Astyanax mexicanus: one gene and its partner. The protein of the gene in region 2 interacts with the protein of the main gene of each other region in a pairwise test. Links are inferred from orthologs where the notes say so. Each region holds a gene or a part of one and is shown on either strand. Other genes may lie near its edges.

Region 1 (7,580 bases), on a different chromosome or scaffold from region 2:
CACAGTCTTAATTATGGTCTTCTACAAATTATGCTGTAGAAGCATTGCAAATAATTTTCATCATCTTAAAAAACACATAAACCACTGCAGATTTCTGAGTTTCTGAATACCACCAACAGTGCAACTGTCTTACTCAGTTACCACCTTCAAACAAATGAACATTTAAATTTATGATTTAGAAATTAAATATTTAAATTACCATATTACTGTGACAAGAATCATTTTTAAACTACATGGTAACTTATGGTACTTATGGTAAATTATTAGCACTTCTCTTAACACTTCGATAAAGGGAGATTTTTACATTACTAATTCCCAAATTAATAAATTAGGCACAAATTAGTATTTTTAAACCTTTACACAGAGACACAAGTAAACTTTTTCATGTCAGTGTTACCTCAAAAGCACTTGATAGGTATTTCAGCAGAGGAGTCACAGAAAATGCTGAAAGTTGCATTCTGCACCCTTCATTCCTTAATAAGGAATGAGTTAAGGGTTATGTAGCCATATACACAGTGCCCCACAGTGAAGTGTCACTTATTATATAGAGAGGACTTTAACCCATTACATGAAGATTTTAACCAAAAAAAACTTTAATAAAAGGTTACGTTATATATCATTCTGGTTAACTGTGAATCCTGAAGGTGCTGCAAGGTTCTCATCATACACACACACACAAATTGCTAGGCCAAAACAACACAATGGTTTAGTAAATCATAACATAGTCAGATACCTTCTGATCTGTATTAGTTTACTTATGTTATTAACTAATATTATACTAACAGGCACCCCACATATCCTGGGACTAGCATATGCATACTTGTATTAGATCTATGACGTTCACAAATCTTGGAGCACTCTTGGAGCAATCAAATAAATGACAGATGAGCCTGACTGTGAGAGCATCCTGATTGGTCTTCTCATGTGCTTATTAGGCAAGATTTACATCCTGATAGGTCTCCTAAGTTTAAAAACAAATCAATCAGTGTTATCCTCATCAAAAATAGATGTTGAGGGACACATAATAAATTTTCATAAAGCAGAAAAGAAAACAAAAGGATTTAAATCAATTACAAAAATGACAACTGTATTTACCAGCTGCACCTACTGACATGAAGCTTGTTCACATGGAATGTGGCAAGAAAAGCCATTAGCTCACAGACACACTGCGCTGACTTGACACTTTTTTTCATCAAACTTAAAATCCATGCCTGCCGAACCTGCAGCAAAGCAGAACCCTGTACAAATTACCCAGCCACAGAACAAGCAACATCTACACTGTACCAGACAATAAACTACAGCAAGCCATTTTAGCTTAAAATCACACCAAATTCAAACGCAAACTCAAAGGTTTAGTCATGTTACCAAAATGACATTTACTTTATTTTGACTAGTCATATACTACACTTGATTTACATGTAATCTCACTCCCTCTTATCCATTACTACATTTTTACTAGTAAATATTTCAATTGCCGATATCTACAAAACATCTATAAGTACAATTTATTACTACAAAATGTAATTCAAATTATAATGTGATCGAGTCTCATTACTTTGAGATACATCATTTTTTTATGTTTATAAAAACCTTATTTGATATACTAAATCATTATTTTAGATTCTTCCTCATTATTATGAGACACTAAGTCGTTTTTAGATGCTCTCATATTTTTGAGATACTAATTCATATTTCTGTTATGCGATCTTATTGAGACACTATGTTGTTTTTGCGAGAAGCTTTTTCATTATGAGATACCAAATAATTATTTTAACAGACTAAGTCGTTTTTCAGATGATCTAATTAAAAAACAACTAAATCATTATTTGTGATACTAAATAATTACTAGGAGATACTAAATCATTATTTTGAGATACTAAATAATTACTTAAAGATACTAAACCATTTTGTTAAGGTTCTAAATCAGTTTGTGAGATACCAAATCATTATCTAGAGGTAATAGTAGATTTAACAGAAGTTATGTGAAGGAGAATGAAAACAAAACACAGACCGTATCTACAAATATTGAAATGAAATCTCAATAACGGCTATGCAGTTGAATTAATAATGAATAATAATTAGGTGGCAGATTATTTCAGTGGCTAGTTAGTTAGTTAGTTAATTGGATGGATGTGTACAGCTAACTACAGTGGGTGCAGCACATTTTAGTAGGCGAGTGTGTGAACCCCCGTCCCGCTGTCTAAACCCGGCCTAATAAACACCTCTCTGTCCTGCCCGTGCCTGGCTCACTCCGGCCTATAACCCCACTACCAGCAGCTAAGCTAGCCCGCTAACAGCGCTTTCTCGGCCGCTGAACAGCGGAGTACCGCGGGCTGCAGTGTTTTAACACCACGCTGAGGGCTGTAAGTGTGTGTGAGGGTCGCGGTGTTCATGTATTCAGAACTGTCACACAGAAACGCAGGCTGTCACCCACCTTCCCAAACTCTGCCGTCCGAAGCCCGCAGCTCCGGAGGCCGCAGCAGCCCCGCTGTTGATCCCGCCGGGTTTGCGATTACCACCGGCCTGCTTCATTGACATGGTTATCCCATAAACGACAGCTTTAAGCGGAGTTTTCTAGCTTTAAGTGTTTGGAGGGAAATCTGTCCTACGCGCTGCCGACAACAGCAGAGCACGACACGCTGAAATCCTGCCTGACTTATTGACAGAGGAGCTAACGGCTAACTAGCTTAGCTAACGAATGACAGCTAATGTTAGCCTACTAGCTAACTAGCCTAGCCTAGCCGCACTGAGTCCTTCAGCTACAGCCTCTACTCCAGAGCTAAATCAGCGAGCTTAGCTTAGCTAGCGTGTCTTTTCCTCCTTATAACAGAAACACTGTCTGAAGGAGAGCTTCTGCTGCAGGCTGTTGATTTTCTCCAGCTGTATGCGCTCTGAATTAATGTAGCTTAGCTAGTAAACCCCTCTGAGTCTGTATCTCTGAGCTGTAGTATCGGCTGACACTGAGGCGCCCCGCTGCTCTCAAAGACCTAAACAGTCTGAAAAGACACAAAATGTAGCGGAGGGATACACACATACACACACACACACACACACACACCAGCCGTGCAGTTATCTACTCTTAAAATTCAGATTGACACTGAAGAAACACTTAAAAAATAAGCGCAGTTCCCTCCCCTGAGCCGCAGGTCGTGCTCAGGTTTGCGGGATTTTGTTGTCTTTTCCGAGTTTTGATAGATGTGCGACCAAACGTGGCGCACTATTTTCAGGAAGTTAACAGATCACCGTGGGAGCGGAGCAGAGTAGTGCTGAGGCAGCCACGTGAGCTCAGCCGGCTTCTGAGAGACCCTGAACAGCACTGACACCGATTCATTGACACCGATTCACTGATACTCATTCACTGACACCGATTCACTGACACTCAATCACTGACACCGAATCTCTTTCTCTGATTCACTGACACCGACTCACTGACACCTATTCACTAACACCTTTTTTACTGACACCGATTCACTGACACCGATTTACTCACACTGATTCAGGGACACTGACTCGCTGACACCGATTCACTGACACCGATTCACTGACACCGACTTACTGACACCGACTCACTGACACCGTTTCACTGACACCGACTCTCTGACACCAATTCACTGACACCGACTCACTGACACCGACTCACTGACACCGATTCACTGACACAGACTTACTGACACCGACTCACTGACACCGTTTCACTGATACCGATTCACTGATACCGATTCACTGACACCGACTAACTGACACCGACTCACTGACACCGTTTCACTGATACCGATTCAGTGATACCGACTTACTGACACCGACTCACTGACACCGTTTCACTGATACCGATTCAGTGATACCGATTCACTGACAGCGACTTACTGACACAGACTCACTGATACGATTTACTGACACCGACTCACTGACACCGTTTCACTGACACTGACTCACTGACATGTTTCACTGATACCGATTCACTGATACTGATTCACTGACACCGTTTCACTGATACCGATTTAATGACACCAATTCGCTGACACCGTTTCACTGACACTGACTCACTGATACCGACTCACTGACACCGTTTCACTGACACCGACTCACTGACATCGTTTCACTGATACCGATTCACTGATACTGATTCACTGACACCGTTTCACTGATACCGATTTAATGACACCAATTCGCTGACACGATTCACTGACACCATTTCACTGACACCGTTTCACTGACACCGTTTCACTGACACCGACTCACTGACACCGTTTCACTGACACCGACTCACTGACACCGTTTCACTGATACCGATTTAATGACACCAATTCGCTGACACCGACTCACTGACACCGTTTCACTGACACCGACTCACTGACACCGTTTCACTTACACCGACTCACTGACACCGACTCACTGACACCGTTTCACTGACACCGTTTCACTGATACTGATTTAATGAAACCAATTCGCTGACACTGATTCACTGACACTGTCAGAACTGTCAATCCGATGGGAGATTGATCCAGCCAAAAATAAAACAGAATTGAAAAGAATAAAATGCAAATGCTCTTTTTAACATTCATTTGTCCAAACGTGTGAAAATTAAAAATAACATTAAATAAAACTTATTTGCAATTTAATTATTCACTCAAGCACGGGTAGTCTGTGCTAAAAATAAAATGTAACCCTCTATGTCATGAATTGTATTTTTTAATCATATAATCAATCAAGATATTTTGAAATAAGATATAAAACAAATAAAATAAAAATAAGAATTTAGTAGGAATTTATCAATCATAGGTAAGAAAATCAAAGGTAACAAAAATGAAGGTGGTTTCAGAATAGGAGTTTATTATTTTGTGACACCATTAAGCTAAGCTTTAGTGTTTCCCGTAGTGAATTCCAGCTCGCTGGTGCTGCACTGTAGCTAAAAGCAGATTTTCCCACTTGATCCAGTCACTGGAGCGAGTCTGATAAGTTGTATCATTTTTAATAAGCATTTGTGTGATGTACGGTGGCATTTTTCGTGAGAAAATGTGAACCACTGCTTTATCATGATTAATTTAATAAAAGTGGTCTATTTGCATAACGTTGCCCAACAAAAACACTGTTTAAGTAAGTTTACAACAAGAATGAAAAAAATTATTGCATACATATTTTTTTTGTTTGGCCCACCTGTACGTCTCATTGTATTGGACGTAGATATGTATTGCAACATTGTTTAAAAAAAATTTAAATAAGGCAAAGCGGTGGTGTAATTGATATGGTGTAATAAACAAAAGTTTGGCTTGTTACCTGAGGCAACACTTTGCTGTGGAGGATTAAATAAAAAAGTTAGTGACATTTTATTTTCATTAACATTAATGAACATATTGGTATTTCATGGTCAAATCCAAAATGAAAAGGTTAATAGAAAAACCTCAAACTTTACTTTGGCTTGTTTTTTTTTATGAGTAGCATAATAAATGTCAAAATAAAAATGAAAGTGAAAAGCACCACATATTGCTTATTTACTTGTTGTTTTAGTATATTAAGCCACGTTAAACTTTTTCCTTATGAGAGGTTTCAGTGATAAGAAAACATGTTAAGGCTTTTTACATTAAGCGTTTTAGACCTCCATCCCCTATCAGTATACAGTCATTTCACAACAAATCCACAGAGATCATGATTTCACTAGCTAGCAGTTCCTAATAACACATACTCCATGAACTCCCATATATGAAATGCTGCATCAGGAGGCACTGCCCACTGCTAATTAACATATATTTACATATGCCCAGCTTAAATCAGCACAAGGTGGCGCTTTCCAAGTTTATTTCTTTTTTTGCCACTTGAAGCTGAATCCTAACCTGACGGTTTGCCTTTATTTTTCATCACAGTTGAAAAGAAAAAGATAAGTGCATATTGCATTTTCATTTTGACACTTATTATGTGCTTATAAAGCGAAAGTGAAGTGTTCCTTTTTCTATTCAGCTTTTAATTTTGGATTTCACCATGAAATACAAGTGTGTTAATGAAAATTAAATGTCAACTTTTTTCATTTAATTGAATTTTTGTCTCATACTACCTGTGCTTGAGTGAATAATTACATCTTTTAGGAGCAAAAAATGTAATATTTGGAAGTTCAGGTGTCCCTTTGGATATAGCAAACCTACATTTAGATTTTGACTTTTGATAGCAAGCTAATATTTTGAATCAGATGTTTCAGACTAAGGGAGCACCAAAACATGCAGGGAAGGAGAAAGTCTCCAGAACCAGAGAGTTCATGCCTCATCACCTTACAGAAGTGGTCTAACGGCAAAAGGCAAATTTCTAACAATAATGTATGAATCAGCCAAATATACTTCTTTACATATTCTTGCATACAAACATATTTTTATTTATGACCCACTGATACGCCTCATTGTATTGGACATAGAGATGAATAAATGGATAAGTAAGCAAGCAAGTATTTACATTACATTTGGCAGACGCTTTTGTCCAAAGCGACTTATAATAATGATGTACATAGAGTAATAGAAGTTAAAGGTAAAAAACATCTTTAAATAGGGCCTAAAGAAGGTCAAAGGTAAATAATGGGATAGAGGAGTGAAGGAGGGGAAGAAGGAAATGAGGTTAGAAGTAGTTAGTGTGTTAGAGGTGTTAAGAGAGTAAGTGCTCTTTGAAGAGCTCAGTCTTCAGGAGTTTATTAAAGATAGCGAGAGATTCTCCTGATCTGGTAGTAGAAGGTAGTTAGTTAGAGGTGTTAGGGGAGTAAGTGCTCTTTGAAGAGCTCTGTCTTCAGGAGTTTATTAAAGATAGTGAGAGATTCTCCTGATCTGGTAGTGGAAGGTAGTTTGTTCCACCATTTGGGGAACTCTGTATGAGAACAGTCTGGATTGCTTTGTGTGAAAGTTTGTTTGGTAAAGCGAGGCGACGTTCATTGGAGGAGCGCAGCGGCCGGGAGGTAGCGTAAGCCTTCAGGAGTGAGTGCAGGTAGGAAGGAGCTGTTCAGTCATCAACTTTTAGGCGATTGTAAGATGTAAGTTAGTTAGTTAGTTAATTAATTAATGGGATAAAATGGTGTAAAAAACAAACATTTAGGGTTAAATTTCAAATTAAGTAACTGCATTTTATTTAGAATTTTTTTCATGATATTTTTGCACATGTGAAAAAAAGTCAAAAGGGTATTTGTATTTTCATTTAAAAAAAAATCTAATTGTTTTAAAATAAATTTTATTTAGAAAGCACACCCCCCGCTATGAAAATCACTCCCTCTCCGAAGCGCGTTTCTAAGTAAAGTTAGCTAAAGCAATTATCTTCAAGCAATTATTTTCAATAAAACGGTGCATACGCGATGCCGAGAGAGGGTGCTTTTCATGGCGGGGGTGCCTCTTTCCTTATTTTTTTACGAGTCAGCATAGCTTAGAACAGTATCTTGGGTATTTCCAACAAAGTTAAAGCCCAGAAGATGTGGGTGTGCGCTCTCGAGAGGTGGTGCTTTTCCTGACGGGGGTGCAGAATTCGGCACAACAGTGGCTTTACACGCAAGGTCAGTGATGAGTGCAATTGATGAGAGCAATGAATCACAACAGTAACAATATACTGCACTAAAAACGACA
Region 2 (6,943 bases):
TTTGCAGTTTGAAACAGATGAAAATCACATCATTCTCATTTTAAATGAGATACACTTTGATACACAGATTGCAGATTTTTAATATTGCAATATATATTGCAGAACAACAAAATATCACAATGTAAAGATCTTCCAATATTGTGCTGCCCTTTAGTCTCAATCGACTAGAAGTTGTCCAAGAATGGACAACCAGTAAGCTGACAACAGGGTTATGGACACCTAAGACTCACTGATGTGTCCCATGGAGGCCTCACTCCAAAACTTACATGACTTATCTGTAAGCATCTGCTGCTAATGTATGTCTTGGCGCCAGATATCATGGGACTCTGCCTTAAATGGTGGTGCTAATATTATGCAGCTGATCAGTGTATAAATCCGGCAGACTCTTAGCATTTACATTACATCAACCTTCTAAACTTCCAATAGAAGTCAATGTCAAAATATTTAATTCCATTTTGGGGCATTTCCATTGGACAGTCCAACATAAAATGATGACACACTTTAAAAACTACAATGTTAAAACTACAGTTACACTATGCAATCATACTACAAAAACAGGAGTTTCACATGTATTATATATAAATATATACATGTAAAACCACATTAAACCACAAATAAAGGTGTCTTGTATTAAGTGTTAAGTGATGTTAGTAACTTACTAGTATCACAACACTGGTAACATAATACCACAACATCAGAGGAATCAGGTGATGTTTTAGGTTGCATTAATGATGATGGTGAATTTAAGCATCGTTCACACTGAAGCATGTCTCACCAACTTTACACTGCTTTGTTTAATTAGGTGTTCATGCATTTGACTTAATCATAATTGGTCATTAAAAATGTCAATATAGTTTCACTCTATAATGTCTTACAATTTTAATAATGTTTAGATTGATTTGTTTAACATAATAGTGTATACACTAACTACACTGAAACTACATTTACAAAAAGGCAACTTACTGTTTATGTAGTTTTTGACCATTTTATATAATGGGCTATTAAATCAATCCTCAGCTCTGAATCACAAAAAAATAAAGTGTACAGTAAAACTATAAACAGTTGCTTTCAACAGCAATTTAAATACACTATTAGAGACAGACACATTTATAGTAAAGTTAAATTACTTATTTTTAGAATCATCTTGCAAACGAATTGCAAACAAAAGTAAAAACATATCTTATATAGTATTGTAAACACTAACAAACTTACTGAAAAGATAAAAGTACTGTTTATATAGTTTTTTTTTTATTCATTTTTAAAAAAATGAATTGCAATTGCAGTACACTGTCTGAGCCTGAATACTAGGCCTGTCATTATAAAAAAAAAGTTGTAGATTATGTTTTGTCCAAGAAATAACTGTGATTGAATACTGACATTATTTTCATTTTGGGAACGGTTTAATGCCAATTATAAAATGCTAATACTTCAGGATAATAATGCATTACTCATTACTTTACTCAAAGCAAAATACTTTGAATTATTAAGAGTATTTAGACATTGAAACTGGAACTGACTATTTTGAGGTAATGTGTATAAATTAGAAAAAAAAAACGTACAATAATGTAATTATTGTAACAGTAACAGATTAAAAAAAAAAAAGCAAAACAAAAGCTTAAGAAACAATATTGTGTAATATTCTCTTTAATGGAAGGAAGTGAAGTCAAACATTTTTGGACATGTTTAGTTACTTTCTACAAAAATAAGAGCATGGAATAAATATGTTTAATTATTATTTACATTATTTACACAATGGAACTGGAACTTAAAATATGCTATATTTAATATCCTAAACAATTTTAACATGATGTCTTGTCAATTAAACACTAATAATACTCTAATATAGAGGTCAGCAGGTAATGTATATAACATGTATATAAGTTGATAATGTAATTATTGCATCCTATTTTAACAGTATCAGGGTAGAAACTACTAAAAATAGCAAAACAACTTAAACAATACTGTGTAAAATTCTCTTTGAAGGAAGCATTCAAAGTGAATTCAAACATTTTAGAAGTGTTTAGTTACTTTCTATAAAAAGAAAGTGCATGGGATAAAAAAGCAGTTTATTAGTAAAGATTGAAATATTTCTAATCAACAAAGTCGATTATGCTGACTAATCGACTAATTGGTGAGTGGCTGAGCAGCTTTTAACTCTAGTGTAGTGTAGTGTGAAGTGCAGTATACATACACTGACGATTATTAGTCAACATTGACTATATATTGTTATATATATTATACATATTGTTGATCTTGAAGTTGATTATTCTGTCGATTGTGCCGACTAATCGTAGCAGCACTACTCCCGTTCAGTTTTCACTCATTCTCTCTCTCTCTCTCTCTGCACACTCACCCATCCTTCCATCCACTCACCTGCTGTAAGTACATGAACGTCAAGGCACAGGAGAGCTGCGGACACACGTCCACCCGGGGCAGAGCGACGCACGGGCCGCCCGCGAGGGGATGCTGCATGGCTGGGCTGGAGGCTGAGGCAGCGCCGCCGGGCTGAGCGGGAACGGTGGAGGAGGCGGAGGCGGTGAGGCGCGCGTGTCTCGGCTCGCGGTCCGCGCTCGAGCGCCTGGCTTTGTCTTCAACGGTTGTTTTGCGGTTTGAAAAAGACGAAGCGGGTTTAACCGGGTTTTAAACCTCCGAATTACAGAAATATCACCTAAAACTACTGAAATTTACCTCAGAATGAACCTTTTATCTCTCTGTTTTTGGTTCCTAGGCTCGGAGCTGCAGCCTGCTCTCTTTAGTTCGCAGTTTCTGTCTGTTTTTCCACCGGTTCCGGTCCAAACGCGCTCAAACAAGCAGGTTATCCTCTTAAATACAGACTAACCCGCTTCCCGCTGACGGTAAGCGGTGAAAAGCTAGCGTCTCCGGGTGTTTAAAGCGAACTTTAGCAGCTGGGAGAAGCCTGTACACACACTGTATACAAACACACACTGAGCCTGACTGAGTCTAACCGCCGCTCCGCTAACGGCTCTCCCTCATCCGCGAGAGCGCCACTTTCGCGCGCGCGTATGTATGAAGCTCCGCGTGGAATGGAACGCTCGAGGCGGGCGGAGGCGGGACTTCGGCGAGAGATAGCCAATCAGAGATGCGCCATAAGGGCTGGGGGCGGAGTAATGCTCGCCGTGGGAGGGTTGTTTATTTATGTTTGAAGTGAATATTGTTGTTTTATTATATAAACTACGGACAACATTTCTCCAAAATTCCAAATAAAATGTTGTCATTTAGAGCATTTATTTACAGAAAATGGAAATGGCTGAAATAACAAAAAAAGCTTTTCTATGAGCTTTAAGACCTTGAATAATGCAAAGAAAACAAGTTTATATTCATTCTCCTCCACCAGTCTTACACACTGCTTTTGGATAACTTTATGCCACTCCTGGTGCACAAATTCAAGCAGTTCAGCTTGATTTGATGGATTGTGGTCATCCACCTTCCTCTTGATTATATTCCATAGGTTTTTCACTGGGTAAAATTAAAGAAACTCAAATTTTTTAAGTGGTCTTTTCTGACCTGAAGCTGTATTTATTTATTTATGTATTTATTTATTTATTCATTCATTTCAGCTGATTAATACTTTAAGGGCTCTGTCACTTTTATGCAAATACATCTTGATGATTAGTGTTAGCTTGTGCTAAATGGCAAAACACAAACAAGCTTGTTCACTTTTCGCTCCAACTCATCCGAACCATCTGGGTTGGGTTATTATGGCAGGTGTTTGGTTATTATTAATATTACACAGCTATTTTAGGCTGAGTATTTCTATTAGAGTGAATGAGTTAAGGGAAATGCAGTAAAAACAAATATTACAGCGGGATGTAGACTTGGACTTGGTTAAATGGTTGAGGGAAGAAGTTATGAACATTAACCAGGGAAAAGCCTTCTTTACTCTACTGTTTTTTTTTTTTTCATATTTTTCCTATATTACTCATTTAATACAATGATATATAAAGCCAGTTATTAACGCTGGTGTGTTAAACACTTTTCCAGCATAATACTAAAGAGATGCTTTGGCAATAAGCAAACATTAATGGGTAGATTACTGGAGGTTCACATAATCTCCCAAACCTCAGGGTATGCCAAGGTGTTCTTGTGAAGCATATCTACAAAAAGTGCTCCAGGAAAGAACAACTGGTGAACCGCGAGTAGGGTCAAGGGCTCCCAAGGCTCACTGATAAGATCAGTGAAGGTCCCACCTCCCAACTCTAAGGACTTAAGGGATCTGCTGCTAACGTTCTTGGCTTTGGTACCAGAGGATACCACAGATTTCCTTCAGAGGTCTTGTGGAGTTGATGCCTTTACAGGTCAGAGCTCTTTAAAAGCGACAGTCAAGTTTTGTGGATTTAGAGAATAAATTAGTTAGAACAGTTGGTCCTCTTTCTACTCAGCAGCACTAATACTTTTAGCTTAAAAGAAAAACACATAGAACTGCTGCTTTAAGTGGCACAAGGGGGACAGGTGGTTTTTTATACTCGAGATGATTGGTTTATGGTGTACAATATAAAAAGTAAGTGCAGTGTTCCAGTGCTTTGTGATTTTTAAAATATTCTAACACACAAAAAAGAGTTCCACTATTTTTACATGCCAAAGAACTCTGTTTCAGTACTATATAGAACCGAAGCTTACAGTGTGTCCATCTGTCAGCCTTCAGGCAATGAGGGGACATGTTAAAAAACTCCTCATTTGTATTCAGCTGATGTATACTAGTGTAAATGAGTTGAAAAAAAAATAGGGAGCAAAACAGGATTATGGAGGTACAAATATAGTATTTCTAGCAGACACCTTGAATTAAAAATGGCTTTGTCATTCACAGCCCATGACATACATGTCCTGTATGACCTAACACACTGTCCCAGAATACCTGTCCTGAATCCATCCTGTAATCAGCATTAGAAAATGTCTCACATTTCTATCAAGGTGATTCTCAAGCATGTACTAACAAACATACACATTCATTAACCTCCTAGGACCTGGCGTCCACATGTGTGGACATCACATTTTGGGTTGTCTAGACCACAACACTAAATTTTGCTCTACAAGAGCCTGGTGTCCTCTTATGAGGACATTATACTGTCAGTAGATTTTAACACGTTGCAGTCTGGATTTTGTTCAGAAATTTAAATGAATATTTTGTTCTATCAAAATATAAACCTATGTAACCCATATTTTTTTTTTCTCAGAAACTACATCATGTAAAAAGATAATTCTTTGTTTTCCCATTAATCAGGAGCCAATTAGCCCAAACAGCAAAAAGAAATAAAAAATGCATGCAATGCAAGAGTACGGGTCTTAGGGGATTAAAGTGGGTGAGGGTTTTAGTAAGGGTTACATTTGATAAGCAAAGGCAGATAAACAAACAAAAAAAAACAAATAAAATAAGCGTTAAATTTATGTTAATTTAGCTGCTAGCCAACTGTATATCCTGCATCACTAGTTATGACTAGCACATGCCCCCTCTGATACATGTGAAGTCAGCCACCTTCTCCACACTTTCCAACTGCTGCATGACCGGGATTCGAACATGCAATCTCCCGATCATAGTAGCAGTGCTTAAGACTGCTAGACCACTGCATTTGACAATAATTGACTTGTGTCTAATAAGTGAACTAAATTGTTCTGCAGCTACAACAAACAAAAAAATTACAGTTTAAGAAATTTTCCTAAACTGCACCAAAACAAGGCGTCCACTGTTGTTACGAGCCTAATAACAATACTTACAATACTAAGTAAAAACCTCTTTTAAGGTCTTTTAATGTAGGAATGCAACTAACTCCATACTACTTTCATAAAGATTACTTTCACAGCACAATACCTGGATCCAATATACAGTAAGTGCTAGAATTCTTTCTTTCTGACAAGCTGAAGGCCCCATGCAAGAGTGTTCAACCTCTAATAATAAATAACTCCTTTAACTCCATTATTTAAGGGTAGGCACATCATTAATTAAATGTGAGAAGAGCCTCTTATTCGTAAAATGCCAGTCTGACCAGAGAAAAACGAGGCAGGTACTGAGGGGCCTGTGGAAAATAAAAATAAAAAACACTCTTTTTGCCTGCTCTATTCACAGCTTCCAAAACCCACCATTCACCTGAAGCAGGGTGGCACACGCAGCAGTAAATAATTCATTGCAGCAGCACGCGGTGGTTAGCATTCAGAGTCCAGAGCAGTTTGGAGTCAAATCAGGCAAAATTGCCTAAACCGACTCCTATAACACACAACAACACCTTGAAGATCCATTAATAGTGATAAAAACATGTTGTATTAGGAGGGGAAAAAAAAAGGCTGATATTTGATTCAAGTGCGGATCCAAGGTCTAACCAACAACGGCAAACATGACATTACAGTTTGGTGGGGAAGAGAGTGTGAATTATTCATGTTCTCCTTCTTTAATCTTACTTATCTGTTTTTTTTCTCTCTACCCCCCCCCCCCCCTCCCCCCTTCCTCCCGCCCCCCAGCGCTACTACGCGAGTCGACATCGCGAACCGACGGCACTCGGGTAAGAAGGCTTCAGACGCTTGTTACTATAATAGAACAAAGTCATGAAAATCGATGGCGCTCCATGTTGCACAAGGGTGCGTAATTAAAAAAAAGAGAAAGGCCTTCTTCGGAGCTGGAGGAGGATGAACGCGTGCATTATAGAGAGGGCAGCAGAACGCTTTGCTCTATTTTACTCCTGCTTCTCCTCCCTTCTTCATGCCTTCAGGCAAGGATGCTTTATTTTTTTAAACTCTACCCCCCCCTTCCCTGACTACAGACACGTTTTGTCTTCCTCTCCGTCTCTCTTCCGGCCTGTCCTCTGCGCCTCCCGCTGCAAAAAATAGTCGCACCGGGCGCCGACCCGTGTTCGAGAATTGTCATCTGCGCCGGGCTTCACATGCCACGCCTTCCCTCGTCCCCTATACCCATGCTTCCCTCTGTATCCGCTGCTCC

The links.
Region 1: the proteins of rbfox1 (region 2) and atxn2 interact in binary tests that used the Homo sapiens proteins (3 or more experiments, as listed by UniProt). The link is inferred for Astyanax mexicanus from reciprocal best matches to the Homo sapiens genes RBFOX1 and ATXN2.

Annotation. Positions count from the first base shown.
Region 1 is NC_064429.1:14,079,850-14,087,429, reverse strand, and holds the start of atxn2 (ataxin-2), read right to left. Parts: upstream 3,061-7,580; 5' UTR 2,539-3,060; coding exon 2,435-2,538; intron 1-2,434. UniProt on the Homo sapiens protein: Involved in EGFR trafficking, acting as negative regulator of endocytic EGFR internalization at the plasma membrane.
Region 2 is NC_064426.1:5,886,248-5,893,190, forward strand, and holds the start of rbfox1 (RNA binding protein fox-1 homolog 1), read right to left. Parts: upstream 3,029-6,943; 5' UTR 2,473-3,028; coding exon 2,374-2,472; intron 1-2,373. UniProt on the Homo sapiens protein: RNA-binding protein that regulates alternative splicing events by binding to 5'-UGCAUGU-3' elements. Regulates alternative splicing of tissue-specific exons and of differentially spliced exons during erythropoiesis.